3 linked regions of the Saccharomyces cerevisiae S288C genome follow. Changing the gene in region 1 together with any one later gene gives a genetic interaction. Each region holds a gene or a part of one and is shown on either strand. Other genes may lie near its edges.

Evidence for each region.
Region 2: mutations in AAD10 (region 1) and YKR104W together harm fitness more than expected from each alone (negative genetic interaction), as found in Saccharomyces cerevisiae (one large-scale study listed by BioGRID).
Region 3: mutations in AAD10 (region 1) and PUG1 together harm fitness more than expected from each alone (negative genetic interaction), as found in Saccharomyces cerevisiae (one large-scale study listed by BioGRID).

The regions. Positions count from the first base shown.
Region 1 is NC_001142.9:723,107-728,771, reverse strand, and holds AAD10 (putative aryl-alcohol dehydrogenase), read right to left. Parts: upstream 1,368-5,665; coding exon 501-1,367; downstream 1-500. Other genes in the region: THI11 (4-amino-5-hydroxymethyl-2-methylpyrimidine phosphate synthase), read left to right, coding at 1-198; YJR154W (uncharacterized protein), read right to left, coding at 1,948-2,988; PGU1 (endo-polygalacturonase), read right to left, coding at 4,872-5,665.
Region 2 is NC_001143.9:653,804-659,423, forward strand, and holds YKR104W (uncharacterized protein), read left to right. Parts: upstream 1-3,032; coding exon 3,033-3,953; downstream 3,954-5,620. Other genes in the region: putative multidrug transporter NFT1, read left to right, coding at 1-2,933; VBA5 (basic amino acid transporter), read right to left, coding at 4,913-5,620.
Region 3 is NC_001137.3:556,000-561,567, forward strand, and holds PUG1 (Pug1p), read left to right. Parts: upstream 1-3,454; coding exon 3,455-4,366; downstream 4,367-5,568. Other genes in the region: TOG1 (Tog1p), read right to left, coding at 297-2,681. UniProt on the Saccharomyces cerevisiae protein: Involved in inducible protoporphyrin IX influx and heme efflux.

The sequences.
Region 1 (5,665 bases):
TGGAAGAAGGTTACCGGTTACGGTAAGAGATTAGCCATTCTGCCACCAGACTATGTCTCGAACTACACTAATGAATACTTGTCCTGGCCAGAACCAGAAGAGGTTTCTGATCCTTTGGAAGCTCAAAGATTGATGGCTATTCATCAAGAAAAATGCAGACAGGAAGGTACTTTCAAGAGATTGGCTCTTCCAGCTTAAACGTGCTTCGTCACTCGTTCAGCCCAGCCTTCCTCTACGACTTGTTTATGATTTCACATTAGCTGTTGTTTCCTACTCGATATATAGACATACATATTTATGTATCAGAGCATGTATACAAGCTTTAAATGAACTCCCTTTATCTTAACACTTTATTTCCTCGCAAAATCAACACAATAAAAGATGCCTGCAAATGCATGAGCGGCAAAGTTTTCTCTAAGTATTTGAATCATCAAACTGTGTGTGTAAGCGTATATATAAACATTTTTCACATTATGAACATACTAAAACTATTGATTTGACTAATCTTCGAAGCTAATCTTGGCAGACATTTCGGTGAGAAATGAAGGTTTCTTGGTAACAGCTGGGTCATCTCCAATAAAATTAGTGGGAAATCCGACATCAAAAGGAACAATACTTTCTAAGTACTTTATTTGTTCTGGTGTTAATTTAATGCTCAAAGCCTCAATGTTCTGTTTGAGATGTTCGATCTTTCTTCCTCCCACTAATGGGAAAACATGTTTCGCTTTAGACCGAACATAAGCTATGGCAATAGCAGTGACAGACTCAGTGCCATGTTCTTCCGCAACTTTTAACAATGCTTCGCTGATTTTAACCTCCATATCCGTCTGTTCCGAAGTACCAAAAAAGGTACGCAAGCCTTCTCCTTTCTTCTTCCGCTCTTCCACTGCCTTTTTACTCTGAAATCTCCCGCCTCCCATAACATCCCATGGAGCAAGAGCCATACCAAAATGCCTAGCCATTGGAATGATATCACGTTCAAAGTCCCTGTTCAATACATTCCATTTACCTTGATAGATACTAAAGGGAGTTTTACCATGAGATGTGGCGTAGTAATTTGCTGCAGAAACAACCCAGGCAGGAGTATCAGACACACCTAGATAGAGTACTTTGCCCTGCTGCACAAGAATGTGCAAACTATCCATAACTTCCTCAATGGAGCTCATATAATCCCACCAGTGAACGTAAAGAATATCAATCCAATCAGTTTGCAACTTACGAAGGGAATCTCTCACACTTACATGCAAACTGCGCTTGTGATTCCCACAGAAATTGGCACTCTTCCCCTTGCCTACATCATACCCCTTATAATCCGTGGTAAATTTAGTGGCAATTACAATCTGGTCACGCAGTTTTCTTGATGCCATCCATTCACCGATCCAAGTCTCTGACTGCTCATACTAATAATTATTTGCAGTATCAATGAAATTTCCGCCTGCTTGGTAAAAAGCATCAAGTAGCTCAAAAGCTTGTTCTTTGTCCATTGATCCCATGAATCCAGACCAGGCGTCACCAATAGACATACCTCCCAGGATTAGTGGAGAAACTCTTATACCAGCTGTTTTAGATAGGACCCTAAGACGTCCTAACTCGGTAGGTGGTTCAGGTGCAGGTCCAAAAGCCTCAGACATTTCGAAGAGCACATTTTGCGGCGGTGGGTTATGAAGCTATTCAATTAATTAACCAGTCCCCAACCGAAGGTGAGAATCATATTGGGTAATACACCTTATTCCTAGTTGTGCCACTATCCTTTTATATGTTTTAAAATCCCGCTCCCTTAAATTTGTACAAGTGCAAGTAATGAAAGTTGTTCGATTTCGGTACGAAGTTTTCTTACCGGTTCCGTGCGAAAACAGCAGGGAAGTACTAGAATAGGCTTTTGAAGCATGCCACCCAGTCTGCACATTTACAGCGAACTTGTGGTGATATGTTTTCCCGTTACAATGATTATTGCGTGGACCCATAATTCACCCTTATTGTCTCTCCATAGTACCCCTTTTCGATATCATTTTCAAACAAACTAGAACTGATAAGATGTCCTGGACTCTTATAATCTATGTGACCACAAAATGGCTCACTAATTCCGAGCCCCAACAGTTGCAAGGCTTCCAATGGTAAACCCTTAAACACTCGCAAATCAGTCCCTAAGTGAAGATTTTCCTCTGGTTTCAAGTAGCTCTTTGTCATAAAAAAATATCCAGCAACTCTGTCTTGTGACGTACGATTTGCACTGGCTGCATGGTAGAGGCTCCCTAAGAATAGAACTGCGTCTCCCTTTGCAACATTAACGTGAAATTCCATCCTCTTGTCAAAGTTCCCACAGGAATCGTGCGGACCCCACAAATGTGAACCGACTATCATTCGCGTAGAGCCATTTTCTTTATTCATATCTGTAAAAGCTACACCTAACCCTACCATGGTTTCGGTTCCATACTGGAAACGTTCACATGCTTGATGGGTCGTATGATGAACAATATCTTCTCGGTGGTAGCCCTGGTCACTTGCACCAGCGCCAACCTTGTAGACTATACCGGAGTTCAGTTGAATATCACTAGTGCATTTATTAATCACCTTTCCCGCCGCAAAGTAGTTTTCTTCATTCAAAAAATGTTTTGAGATATCACAAAACATACGGTCGCATACCACATCCTTTAAGACTGTAGATGAGTGTAAAACCGATCTCGTTGCCACAGTAGTTTCCTTAGGAAACGGTGAGCCTTGCCATGATTCGTATCTATAAAAATGCGGTTCGATTTCTTTCAATATTTCATCACATCTGGAGGTCTCTATAAAATTCTTGACCACGCAAAGTCCGTATACTTCCATTTTTTCAATAATTGCTTTGTAATCGAACTTGTCTTCGACTGTGAATGCCTTTTGCGTTAAGCCAGGCTGGCATACGCCAAGATCTTCCTTTTTTTTCATATTAATGTATTTTTGGCCACCTATATTGTATGGCTCACTAAGGTTGTGTGAATCTGTGTTCATCGTATGGATTGCGTTTTGAATCTGTCCTGCTTGTACTTTGAGTAGGGGAAATCTCTCGTCTTAAGATCTCATGGATGTGCTTTATATACTTTATTAGTTTTACAGACGCGTCACCTGCTATCAACACATGACCTTAATGTTAGACTCTGATTAATTAAATATTCTATTTCTGTTGAGAATAAATTACTATTACTCCGGGGCAGCAGTACCTTCATTTTGAAGGAAAATGAGACAATCTTGCCTCTTTTCCAACGTAAAATTCTTTAGCAGCCCAATAATGCCTCACTTCGCGTTATGTCACTTATTTTTTTTTTCTTTGAGTCATGTATGGACGACTACTAGCCACACCGGTGCTGAAAATCTATAAAAAACTTTGATTCATAACCCAATTTTGACTATCCTCATTAATTTTAGCAATTTCGCCTGTAGTATGTTCATAACTGCAGAATTCTACGTTATGGCAGTACTTCTTTACGTTGTTTTACCAAAAGGTATTATTTTTCGAGAAGCTTTTCAACCTGCCTAAGTTAGTAAACCCTTTTCGCTTTTTTCAACATTCTATGGCTTTTCCCTAGCACTGACATATCTGTAAGTTGATTGCGTGGGACGTCTAGCGCAGGTTTTGAGAAGTTTCCAACAGGCATATCTAGCTTGATATTATTAGGGGTCTATCTGAATCGCTTATGTAAACAAATATTCAACTAGCTTTTCTGTCACTGCAATCGGTAAAATTTTAAACGGCCGTTTCTGCATGTACGCCAACTCACAGTTAAAGCATTCAAAAATTCAAAGGAATTACTAGTAACGCATATTACAAATTCTTTAAACATAAATACTAAGCTATATTGAGCCAAGAACATTCGTTGAATTTTTTTTCCGCCAGTAATGAAAGATATAGTTCGAACTAGGGTAATTGTACTCACGATGGGAGAAATAATAAAAAAATCAATATCTAAAGTCTGACGTACCGTAAAGTTTTCATCACGAACTATGGCGAAGGTTGATGAGACTCTCTAAAATTATTTTGATTTTTGAAGGACGTTTCCCTAATAATTATTAGGGAAAACAGTGCCTTGTCACAGATGAACTGGAATGTACGAGTTAAGGATACTCATATACAACTGCGAATTATGTAATTACATCTATTTTCAGCTTTTGCTATATATTGCATAATTCGGCAGACTTAGTTTATAACAAGAGGCAAAGTAAATAGCCTTTAAAATTTCAATATTGCAGACAACACAATATCGATAAACATAAAATGGAGAAGGCCTTAAAGATATTTTGGCTTTTTTCTCACTGGCTCGATGGGTAACAATGGTCAAAAAAACAGGGCTATTATTTGAGTCAGCGAAGTTTCACAATTGTGTCATATTGGTAGATGCACTGATATTACCGAAGACTTTGTCATTACTTTCTCATGTACGCTGGATTAACGCTATTGAGGACGGTTTTTTATGTAACTTTTTCAGCCGCAGCGTTTTGTAGGCAGATGAAGTGCGCTCATTCGTTTCAATTGTAGTACTTAGTCGCATTTACCATTTTTTTTACCAATTATTGACCTTCCTGTTTCAGACGATCCCAAGGGTCCAGAATGAAACATAAACTATAGTCTTGAACAGAGATTTTCTTCTCAATTAGGACTTTTAGGCTCTCATTGTTGCTATCCGGATGAGCATAGCGTATCTCTATTATTAAATGGCAAAAAAGATACCAACTTGATACAAATCAACAGTAATAATTAGACCTGAATTTACAAAAAAACCCAGCATAAATTGCCGAACAAATACCAATATTTTCCTGCATCTTTGTTCTGTTATGTATTGAATAGTAAAGAAAAGAAAAGAAGGTATGTATAGTCATATGAGTACTTTAAAAGAGGATTAACAGCTTGCACCAGATCCAGATGGGATTCCAGAACATCCAGAATAGGAAGAACCACCGGTAATTGACACCCCAGACCATTGCCAGTTAGTAGCGTTTTTCACCAAAATTTTAACCCTCTTCGCTGTGGAGTTCACGCTCCCGGTGATATCCTTCATTACTAAATTCGAAATGGGAACGCCACCTGTAGCAGTTCCAGTAGTCTTACTATTCAAATAATCGCCTTCGATAACAATACCATAACTTTTTATGCCGCTAATTTTATTACTGATAAAGTTGACATTAGTGACTGTGCCTGTCGCACCTTCTACGGTTTTTATTCTCAACCCGTTGTCAGAGTTGATAACATGGTTATTTTCAGCCCAGAAACCATTGACTGTATTATCAGAACGGCCACCAACAGAACCTACAGAAATACCATGGCCATTGTAGCAGTAGTTGTTCATAAATTTAATAGTTGAACCGGAATTCACAGCAATACAGTCATCCTGATTATAAACAGTACATCCTTGAATTAAGACGTTACTAGAACTACCAACATCAAACCCATCCGTATTATGACCACCAGCCGAATCACCGTCTCTGATATCAATTGTTATGTCGCTGATGGTTAAATCTGAACATTTATTGATGCTGAAGACTTGGTGTGGAGCATTTTTAATATTCAATCCGGTGACCTTAGATGTTCCCGTCAACGCCAACTTTACAAACTTCGGTTTGACTTTACCGCTATCACCTAAGCCATCCCACCATTTTGCTCCTTGACCATCAATGGTATGTCCCGAAGCACCAA
Region 2 (5,620 bases), on another chromosome or scaffold:
TGCCACCGGCTCCTACCGTCTTTGGCCTTCTTACTTTTTCTAGGATTGATCGGCTTATTTGGAAAGCATACAAACACTGCCTTGGAAACGCTGATATTTGGGATTTGGATATTAATAATAAGTCTATAGCAATTTTGGCGAACTTTGAAATGTCTTCTAAAAAAGGAAGGCTCCTTCCAAACATTATTTGTTATTTTAAGGCTGTTTTCATCTCCCAATTATTTCTGGCTTTTGTATCTAGTTTTTTGAACTTTGTACCCTCATTGTTGATGCCAAGAATACTATCATACGTTAATGACCCAAAGTCAAAATCATGGAACTTGGTGTCTTTATACGTCTCATCTATGCTCGTCAGTAAAATCATTGCCACGACTTGTAGAGGTCAAGGATTGTTTTTAGGTGAAAAGGGTACTATGCAACTAAGAACAGTTTTGATATCCAATATCTATTCCAAAACCTTAAGAAGAACAATTCTAAAAGACTCAACAACGTCACTTCAAAAAAATGCGTCAACATCCTTTGAAGAAAATCCTGACTCTTCTGAAGCGGAACCTAGAAAAAAGTCTAGTAGGAAAGACAACTCTGTGAACAATGTTATGTCAATTGACGCTTTCAAGGTTTCTGAAGCTATGAACACTTTTTATCTGGCATGTGAAGCAGTTTTCATGACAGTTACGGCCCTAATGATACTATATTCCCTACTGGGATGGTCCGCCTTTGCTGGTACCTTTGCTCTTCTTGCCATGATTCCTTTGAATTTTTGGTGTGCAACTTTTTACGGGAACTATCAGGCCGATCAATTAATCCTAACTGACAAGCGTACCTCTGGGATTAGTGAGGCTCTGAACTCAATACGTGTAATAAAGCTACTGGCATGGGAAAATCTGTTTTATCAAAAGATTATAAACGTAAGAGATGGGGAAATAAGACTCCTTAAAAAGAAGGCAACAATTTTCTTTTTGAACCATCTCATTTGGTTCTTTGGGCCCACTTTGGTCTCTGCAATAACATTCTCAGTGTTTATTAAATTCCAAAATCAGACACTTACTCCTACAATAGCATTTACAGCTCTTTCTTTATTTGCAATATTGAGGACACCCATGGACCAAATTGCTTCGACTGTCAGCCTTTTGATACAGTCTTTTATTTCTCTTGAAAGAATCCAGGATTATCTTAATGAATCAGAAACAAGAAAATATGAGATTTTGGAACAAAGCAATACTAAATTTGGCTTTGAAGATGCAAGCATGGAATGGGAAGCTGCTGAAACAAGTTTTAAACTTAAGAACATTTCTATTGATTTTAAGCTGAATAGTCTCAACGCAATTATAGGTCCGACTGGGTCAGGAAAGTCTTCGCTATTACTTGGACTATTGGGAGAATTGAACCTTCTTTCTGGAAAAATATACGTACCTACAGTTGAATCCCGCGACGACTTAGAGATTGGTAAAGACGGAATGACGAATTCAATGGCATATTGTTCTCAAACTCCGTGGTTGATTAGTGGAACAATTAAAGATAACGTTGTTTTTGGAGAAATCTTCAACAAACAAAAATTTGATGATGTAATGAAATCCTGTTGTCTTGACAAAGATATCAAAGCAATGACAGCTGGCATAAGAACAGACGTGGGTGATGGAGGATTTTCCTTATCTGGCGGACAGCAGCAAAGGATTGCTTTAGCCAGAGCAATTTACTCCTCTTCCAGGTATTTGATCCTTGATGATTGCTTGAGTGCAGTAGATCCTGAAACTGCACTTTATATATATGAAGAGTGTTTATGCGGCCCCATGATGAAAGGAAGGACCTGCATCATTACGAGTCATAATATTTCTTTAGTTACGAAACGGGCTGACTGGCTTGTGATTTTAGATCGTGGCGAGGTGAAATCACAGGGTAAACCATCGGACCTCATTAAATCTAATGAGTTTTTGAGGGAAAGCATAAACAATGATTCAAAAAATACAACTCACAATCAAATTGACTTGAAAAGATCAACAACATCAAAGAAAACTAAGAATGGAGATCCCGAGGGAGGGAACTCGCAAGACGAAGTGTGTGCTGAAGTTGAAAATTTTGAGGAAACAAAAATGGAAGGATCAGTTAAATTTTCAGCTTACAAATGGTTAGCAGACTATTTCGGGGGACTGGGAGTTGTTTTTGTTTTCACCTCGTCCTCCATCCTTATTCATGGAATCACACTGTCTCAGGGCTTTTGGCTCAGATACTGGCTGGACACTGGATCTTCAGGGAGTAAGTCTACCTGGCTTTATAGAATAGTTGAGGGTCACTCTAACATCTATTTCTTACTGACTTATATTATCATAGGTCTTGTTTCTTCATTTTTAACTTCTGGTAAAGTTTGGATAGCAATAATTTCAGGTACCAACGTCACCAAGAAAATATTTGCGAAGCTTCTATCCAGTATCTTATATGCCAAGTTACGTTTTCATAATGTCACGCCGACTGGAAGAATAATGAACAGATTTAGCAAGGATATGGATATTATTGATCAACAATTGATCCCTAATTTCGAAGGACTCTCTTATAGCGTCGTTGTTTGTCTGTGGATTATACTTTTAATTGGATATGTTACTCCTCAATTTCTGTTATTTGCTATTCCTTTATGCGCTCTTTATTATACCGTATGTACGTTATATCTTCGTGCATCTAGAGAGTTGAAGAGAATAGATAACATCAATATCTCTCCAATACACCAGTTATTCGCTGAAGCCATCAAAGGAGTAACTACAATTAGAGCATTAGCAGATGAGCGTAGGTTTATCACTCAATCTTTGGTTGCAATTGACAGAAGTAATGCTCCATTTTTTTATCTCAATATGGCCACCGAGTGGATCACATATAGAGTGGATATAATTGGGACACTTGTTCTTTTTAGTTCTTCTGTAATGATCATAATGAAGGCCTCATAGTTGGATGCGGGGCTAGCGGGGATACTGTTATCGAATGCCTTTTCCTTTACTGAAACTGCTCAATGGATCATAAAAGTATTTTCAAGCGTTGAACTTTTGATGAGTTCAGTAGAGAGAATAAAAGAATATACAGATATACCTTCCGAATCAAACGGCTACATATCACCTCCAGCTAATTGGCCTCAAACAGGAGATGTTGAACTAAAAAACTTATCATTGCGCTATTCTCCTCATTCCTCTAAGGCACTAGATAATGTATCATTCAAGGTAAAAGCAGGAACAAAAGTTGGTATTGTTGGTAGAACAGGGGCTGGGAAATCTTCTATTATAGCGGCTATTTACCGGCTTTCAGACTGGGAAAACGGTACGATTACTATTGATAACAAAGACATAAAACATATCCCTTTAGAGCGTTTAAGAAATTCTATAAGCTGCATCCCACAGGATCCTACTTTATTTGATGGAACTGTTCGATCTAATTTAGATCCTTTCGATCGGTATTCTGATGTACAAATTTATGGCGTACTATCCAAAGTGGGATTAATTGAAGAATGCGATGAATTGTGCTTGATTTTTGAGCAAGAGCAGCCTAATTTTTCTAGTCATAAACTAAGAAATAGATTCATTGATTTGAATACTGTTGTGAAATCAGGTGGTTCAAACTTATCTCAAGGGCAAAGACAACTTTTGTGCTTGGCACGATCCATGCTTGGTGCACGTAATATAATGCTAATTGACGAAGCAACCGCCTCAATAGATTATATTTCTGATGCTAAAATTCAGAAAACTATAAGAGAAACAATGAAAAATACAACAATTTTGACTATTGCTCATCGATTAAGGTCAGTAATAGATTATGACAAAATTCTGGTGATGGAAATGGGCAGAGTCAAGGAGTATGATCATCCATACACTCTAATATCTGATCGAAATACCATTTTTTACCGCCTCTGTAGGCAGAGTGGCGAGTTCGAAAACCTTTTCGAGTTGGCTAAAGTCTCATTCGATAATAAAAGATAAGACAACTAGAATTTCCTATTTTTATTCATTCCAGTTCTAGCTACGAAGTATACGATCTGCTTACGTCATATATTTGTGTGTAATTAGAAGGCATTCAGGAAGTCGCTTTTAACTTTTCAGGGCTATATGTCCTAATCCACTACTTTTTTTGAGAACTTTAAGAAATAACTCCTTTGAACCTGTCTGTGCCAAACAAAATTTTGCTGGTACATTTTATGGTATATAAACAAGCTACGTTATTATTACTTTTTTTTGATAGTTTTACTTATACTAGAAAATAATATTATATCATCACAAAAGAAACTCTCTCGTTAAGAATCCCGAATATTCAGCAGGAGCAAAAAAAAAATACCATAATTTAAATGCTTATTCAGTACTTAGCTGCTGATTTTATCGCAAGTATACTATTGGAGAGTACCGTGGTTCATATCGTGCTATTTTTATCTATATTTAAATTTATAGAAGTTTATCGTAGTATACTATGTAATTCTCTGCCGTATTGGCGGCAAAGACAAAAGCACTGACAGTAAACAGTTTTTCTGATGAGAATTTATGTCGAGGAACAAACGAAAATTTTGCTGGCCAAATTTGCTTACGCCTTTAATGTGATTGCGGTTGAGGTCTGTTATTACGCAGCTGCTATCATGTGTCTATTTGAGATTCTCTTTACAGGTTATCGCTGCATTTTTGTCAAGAAAAGAAAAGAAGACAACCTTTTTCTTGCACTGCGATGAGTATATTCAGGCTCGCGAATTTTCCAGATTTCTTACTAAAGACACATCTTTGAACGCACCAGCATGAATTTTATGAACTACTGATCCATATATTAATAGGTTTTAAGTACATATAGAATACTTAAGAAATTACATTCCATTGCGATACACCTATTTGATTCTGATTGTGTTGAAGTCTGTATAAAAGGCGAAAAAAAATAAAATGAAAATAAGAAAATAACTGCGCTACTTGTCTTCTAAATTATCTTCTGGTGTATCGTCCTTTTTTGGTATGATTAATTTCTTATTGGATGAAAAACTACAAAACAAAAATCCTAAGGCATAAAACCCTAGATCCATCCAAAATACGTTCTTAATGGAGTCGCTTAAAATGTTTCCAATAGTCGAATGAGAACCGTCGTAGTTTTGAAGACGATACAAAATCATGTCATCAACCGTTTTTCCTTCGTAAGGCTCTAGATGAGCTCGTGATACTTTATTGTGAAAGGAGGCGGAAAAAACAGTGGTTGAAAGCACACCACCAAGAGTTGTACCTAATGACTTCATGAATGTATTGAAAGCTGTTACTTCAATAAAGTCCATAGCAGCTTCTGGACGATCTTTGGTAATTTGAAGCTGTGCACTCATGAGCGATGCTTGTAGAGCAAATCCAAGGGAAAACCCCGGTAATAGCAAAACACCAATTTGAGTTGACTTCGTGGACGTATTTGTCATAAGTGTCATAAGCCCTGCTCCAATTACCCCAAGAACGCCTCCAAATATTAAGAGTGGTTTAACTAAACCGAGCTTTTTGGTAATCACACCACTTGCAATGGCCGCAATAACGTTGGTAATAACGATTGGTATCAAGTGAAGACCGGCTTTCCATGCACTCGACGCAAATATAAGTTGGAAAAACTGGACAGAGTATATCATTTGCCCATTGTAACCGGT
Region 3 (5,568 bases), on another chromosome or scaffold:
AGATTTGTGAGTGTGTGTAATTGCGTGTAGCTTGAAAGACTTACCACAGTGGTATCAACACCATACTCGAATCGTTCTAGATCTTGCATAAAAAAAGGACATTTACTTTTACTTACTAGTTATGAGCCACCTTTGATTTCATGGTACAGCCCATAACCTTCCTGAAAGCGGTGCATAACGTAAGGGACTAGATTAGAATCACAAAACCTTTTATTGCATTCTACAGTATTCGTCTAAATCAAGGGATTTTATTTCCTAATTGAAAGTGATCAATTGTTTAGGTGCATACTTGGTTTTTACTCTCCGAGGTTTTCTTTAGTAATACCAAATTCAGTGTCCTCCCAAAATAGATTGAGAAGGTCTGGTAGAGATTCTGCAGTCACAAAATTTTCGAGGCTACAAAAGTCCATGCCAACTGAAACACTGGTGCTGCTGGGTGACAACTTCTCATAACAAGCACCTTCTTGATTTTTTCCCTGTACGCCAATAACTCTATTATTCACCAAATCACCCATTTCCCTATCAAGAATGCTGAGAATTTCTTTACGGAAGCTTGATTCTTTGTGTTCGCCTATAATATTCCTGTACCAGATACATTCAATGTCCAACGCAGCTTGACCAGCATCTGAGCAAGCCTGGCCATATTTTTTCAATTCACAAAACAGCGATTCCTTAGCCATTTTCTGTGAACGTGTGTACATCTGACAGCAGATGCGTGTTAGGATGAAAGAAACCGCTGTTCCATTTTCCAACTTTTTAGAGAAGGCGTTGTTGCCCTTGAAATTAACATTGCCAGAGCTCACAAATAAGTCATTATATGAGGCTATCATGCGGCACATCAAGGATAAATAACATATCGAGTTCCTTCTAGGGGTCTCGATAAAATTCAAGGTAATATTCATCAAGATGGCATATATGAACCACGAACAACGGAAAATATAGAACGTATCTTCGTGCTTGAGAACATCCGTCAAAATATCTACAGATGCTTCAAAGGTTTGAAGCCTGATGTCCTTTACGCAGGAATCAAGTTCAATTCTCTCTCTTTCTTGTAGAAGATTTTGTATCCTTAAAATTAAACTCTCCATTCCCTGAAAACAACAAACCTTTGCAAATCCGAAATGGGTGTATAGTTCAAATACATTACTATTTTCAGAATATTGTTTGAGGAAAGGGATTAGTTTGTCTTGTATGCACTGAAAAATTTTACATATTTTTGAAAACTCTACCATAAGCTGTCGTGCGGTTCCATTTAGGTCTTTAGCGTTAGGAGTTGCAAATAATCTGTAGTCTGTAAAGTGTCGATTATAAAGCAAACCAGAGAATACCGCTGTAATAATTTTCGTTAATAGAATATAGCCGAAAGAGATACAAATATCAAACTTACTTGGGTCGAGCTCCACCAAGTTTATTAAAGTAAAACAGTCCATCGAATCATCTACCCCTAATCCAACCACATCCTTGGGAAAGAGACACGAAGTCATTTCATGTGGTATCAATGGCTGCTTACCGGTGACCAATGAATACCATCTATCCCACCAGTAGCAGTCCCACCATAACTTACGATATTCTTCGGCAGTGTCCTCATCCTGACCAATATAATATTCCCAACGATTCAAACCAGCATCCAAACTTCGCCTGGACATCGTGGAAATAATTCTTCCCAGCACAAAAGGATCGTCTATCCAATATCTGTGTTTCATCAACGAGACTAAGCCCTTTAAAATAGTCAAGTCGTACATTGTCGAAAATAGGGATCTTTCAAAATATTCAAGACAGAGACAAAAAATCAACTCATCTTGCTCAAGAAAATATTTCAAAGGAAGTAATTTTTTGGAACTTTTACGATCCAACGCCTTGTGGTGCTGTTCCATCAATTGTACTCCGTACATAAACCAGTCTGTTGGTTTATTGAATTTGATTGTTTGGTTAATGTTTGTATTTCCTTTGATTTCATTCGATATATTTGACATAATGTGTTGAATAAGTACGTCGTTCCCACATGAAAGTCCGTTTAGCTTTGAATAATACTCTAAAGGAGATATCGAAGTTACTTTAGGACCAGCATGGCTAGCAGAGCTAGCGTCAAGAAACTTCAAAAATAAATAGATAGTTTCTCTCGTCTCCCTATCATTCGAACATGAAATCAATTTTTTAGTTATCCAGCTAATACCCGTAGAGGCAAAATATAGCAACGGTGAATAGACCCCAAAGTACATACTGACATTTTGTGCAGTATTGCTTTCAAAAGCGTTGGAGAACCTATTCAAAGATTTTGACTGTTTCCCGATAATTTCTGTTTCTATCGATTTCAGGCCACCATACGAGCTAATTTCCTTACTGTCCAGATTGAGGTAAAGCTGAGGTTGTATTTTTTCAAGCTCAGTGCAAATGTTTGCTAGGCCTTTCTGTAAAGAGGCCGGTGCGCTTGGAGGTAACTGTGCCTTCAATTTTGCTATGCTGCACTTAGCATTATCCAAATCATTACTGAGACTACCAGTATAATTGAAAAAAGCCTCAATCGGTTCACGAAATTGATTTCTATACGTACATTTTGATTGAGACCCAATACACCCAAAACATGGCTTCTTACTGTTGCACTTAATCTTTTTCCTATGGCATCTATCACAGGCCTTGGTTACCCTAGATTTTTGTTTGGCTAATCCTCTTTTTGCTGCCATCTCAATAAAATATAAAAAGCTAAAAAGCTTAAAATTTAAACAACAATAATGTCGTTAACCTAATGCGCTTATTCGATGAGATTTGGATTTGCTTCTAGCTTATAGAAAGGAAGAAAGTTTTTACTGTTCAAAGCACACATCAAAAAAATTATTACCCAGCCTTTCAAACAAACAAAGTACTCCAAAATAGTTATTTTTGAATACTAGCAAACCAACCAATCACTTTTTTTGTTGGATTATCAAATAAGCCTAATCAGGTCTTTCATGCAGCGTTGAATCCAGGTTACTTCACCGCACCTTAAGTTAAGATCAGGACAGTATCGGCTGTTCCTGAGAAACCAGCCATATTCAAGTTTCGGTATCCTAACCGTTGATATTGTCCTTATTTGTCGACCTTCAAATATTGTGGCTGCCATGTATATGAGCGCCTCGATCTATTATGACTAAGCCATGCGATTGTCGTGTAATGGTATCGCGCATACTGAAGGTTTCAGCCCTGTTTTGATGTGCCGCGGCAAAGTGGTTTTTCTCCATACAGGATGAAGTGTTTCTTTCCCCATGCCGCGGCAAGCTCATCCTAAATAAATCTCAACTTTTCAACTAAATGTACTTCAATTGAACAAATGCCAAGACCTCAAATGAATCAGTATAAAAGCACCTACCGAATCAATTGTGGGATGTATAGTCTCTTGCCTCAAAATGTCCAGGATAGTAGGTTAATAGTGTCCAATTACATAGCTACTTAATCTTTTATTGTCCATCAACGTTCCAAAATGTCCACAACTGATTCGGGGTTCGTACTTTACCACTATACGCCAAGTAAAGCGGCTGCAATCGTATTTGTCGTACTCTTCATTATAATGACAGTCATTTTTGCCGTTCAAACTTTATATGCTGCGAGAAAATCTTCTAAGGCATTGAAAAATAATCCATTTGAGTCATCTGATGATAAGGTCGATAGTCTTGAGGATGCTGAATACAAGCAACTAAAAATCACACCCACAGTTTTTGCGTTTATACCTTTCTTCACTGGCTGCATCATGGAAGCTGTCGGGTATATCGGGAGGGCTCTATCCAGTTCCAATCCTGAAAGAACGACCCCATATATTATCCAATCTGTTCTTTTATTAGTCGCTCCAGCACTAATAGCTGCGACGATTTATATGATTTTTGGAAGGTTATTACATGTTATGAGGTGCCAATCTTTAATTTTGATTTCTGCACGCTTTGGTACGACTTTCTTTGTTGTGGGAGATGTGTTTAGTTTCTTTTTACAAGCTGCAGGTGGCGGACTAATGTCTAAGGCAGGATCAACGAAGACTGGTTCAGGACTCATAACTGCGGGTCTTTTTGTACAGGTAATTTTTTTTGGATTTTTCATTATCAATGAGATAAGATTCACAGTAAATGTTAAAAGGAGATGCTTATTTTACGAAGATATTTCCAGAAAGTGGATCTTTGTGAATGCTACCCTATTATTAAGCAGTATGTTGATCCTACTACGTTCAATTGTCCGAATAGTTGAATTTATTCAGGGATTCAATGGCTATATAATCTCTCATGAGTATTTCATATATGTCTTCGATGCTGTACCTATGTTATTGGTAATAATAGCATTTAGTGTGGGATCCTTTTTCGGCAACGTATTCGATGTTATAAAGGAGTGTCAAACGTTAAGTAATTAGATAATATATATCAAATTTTGATTTCTATGTAGTGCAGCCAATCAATTTTAACTTCATTTAGAATAAAAATCTTTCCTCTTCTGCTTTGAAGCCATTAAAACGAAAGATCTAGGCGGTACTATTTCTCCATTCTCAGCCGTACAATCATGCACCGAAAAGGAAGGCAATGTATTGAATTTTTCGCCGAGAACAAAATATTTGTAAACACTCGTTAGATTCCGCATTGTTAAGTGGCATCACAAACACAATCAAGATTAAGAGAAAAGTAGCTCGTTGAGAAAGATTCTTGTACATATCGGGATACTTCTGAAGTCTAATAAAACATTCAAATAAAGACAGACTGGATAAAAGATTCCTGAACGTCAAAACTTATATCTTCTTGTCCCTTGGAATGTCTCTCTGCTCTTATATTGTTGCTGTTGAGTGGTCTCATGACAATAAAGTATGTCACTGAATTGAAGACTACTGAACCATGGCAGCTAATACAATCACGCCCATCCAGAAAAGTGTCGTGTGGCGAAAATTTTTGTTCACGTTGAACAGAGGGTACTGATTTCAAAGTGCTCTTAAGTCGTAATGACGGCCCTAATAATGATTTCCAGACCCTTTGGAAGGAGTTTCTTCTTTAAGTACTGCCCTCCCTGATCTATATTTGTAGGAAATTTTTAAAGTACCTAGCCTTTTTCTCAGTCACGGCTGTAGAGTGTACACAGAGCCTTTGAAGTTTGGTGCTTTACGAAATTAAAGCAGTCACCTATGTCATTTAGCTACAAAAAACTCGTCTAGAAGAACAGCACATCGGCCTCCTATATCGGTACTCATCACAGAATCAATGTATAGTATGTGTCAAGGAGAATGTATTAACGCCAAATTAAAGGCACACTAACATGTAATGAAGCTGGTGTTATATATTTTTTTTCAATTGACGTGAAACTCAGTGTCTTAGAATTATTTTTTAGTTCAAAGAGTACGGCTATTGAAGTGAGCCACAATGTCATTTAGCTTTATAAACACAAGAGTAAAAGTGCGCTTGTCTTCGCCTCAATGAATTAATGGAGCAGAAAATTTCTTAACGGTCAGCAATACTTGAAAATAATTTTAGCAGTTCAAACTTTCGTTGTTATCTTGATACTGAACTCTCCTTAGTATTCATATAAATGATTCTATTTAATAGTCCCCTCCGCAGGGTAATTTTAAGGCCT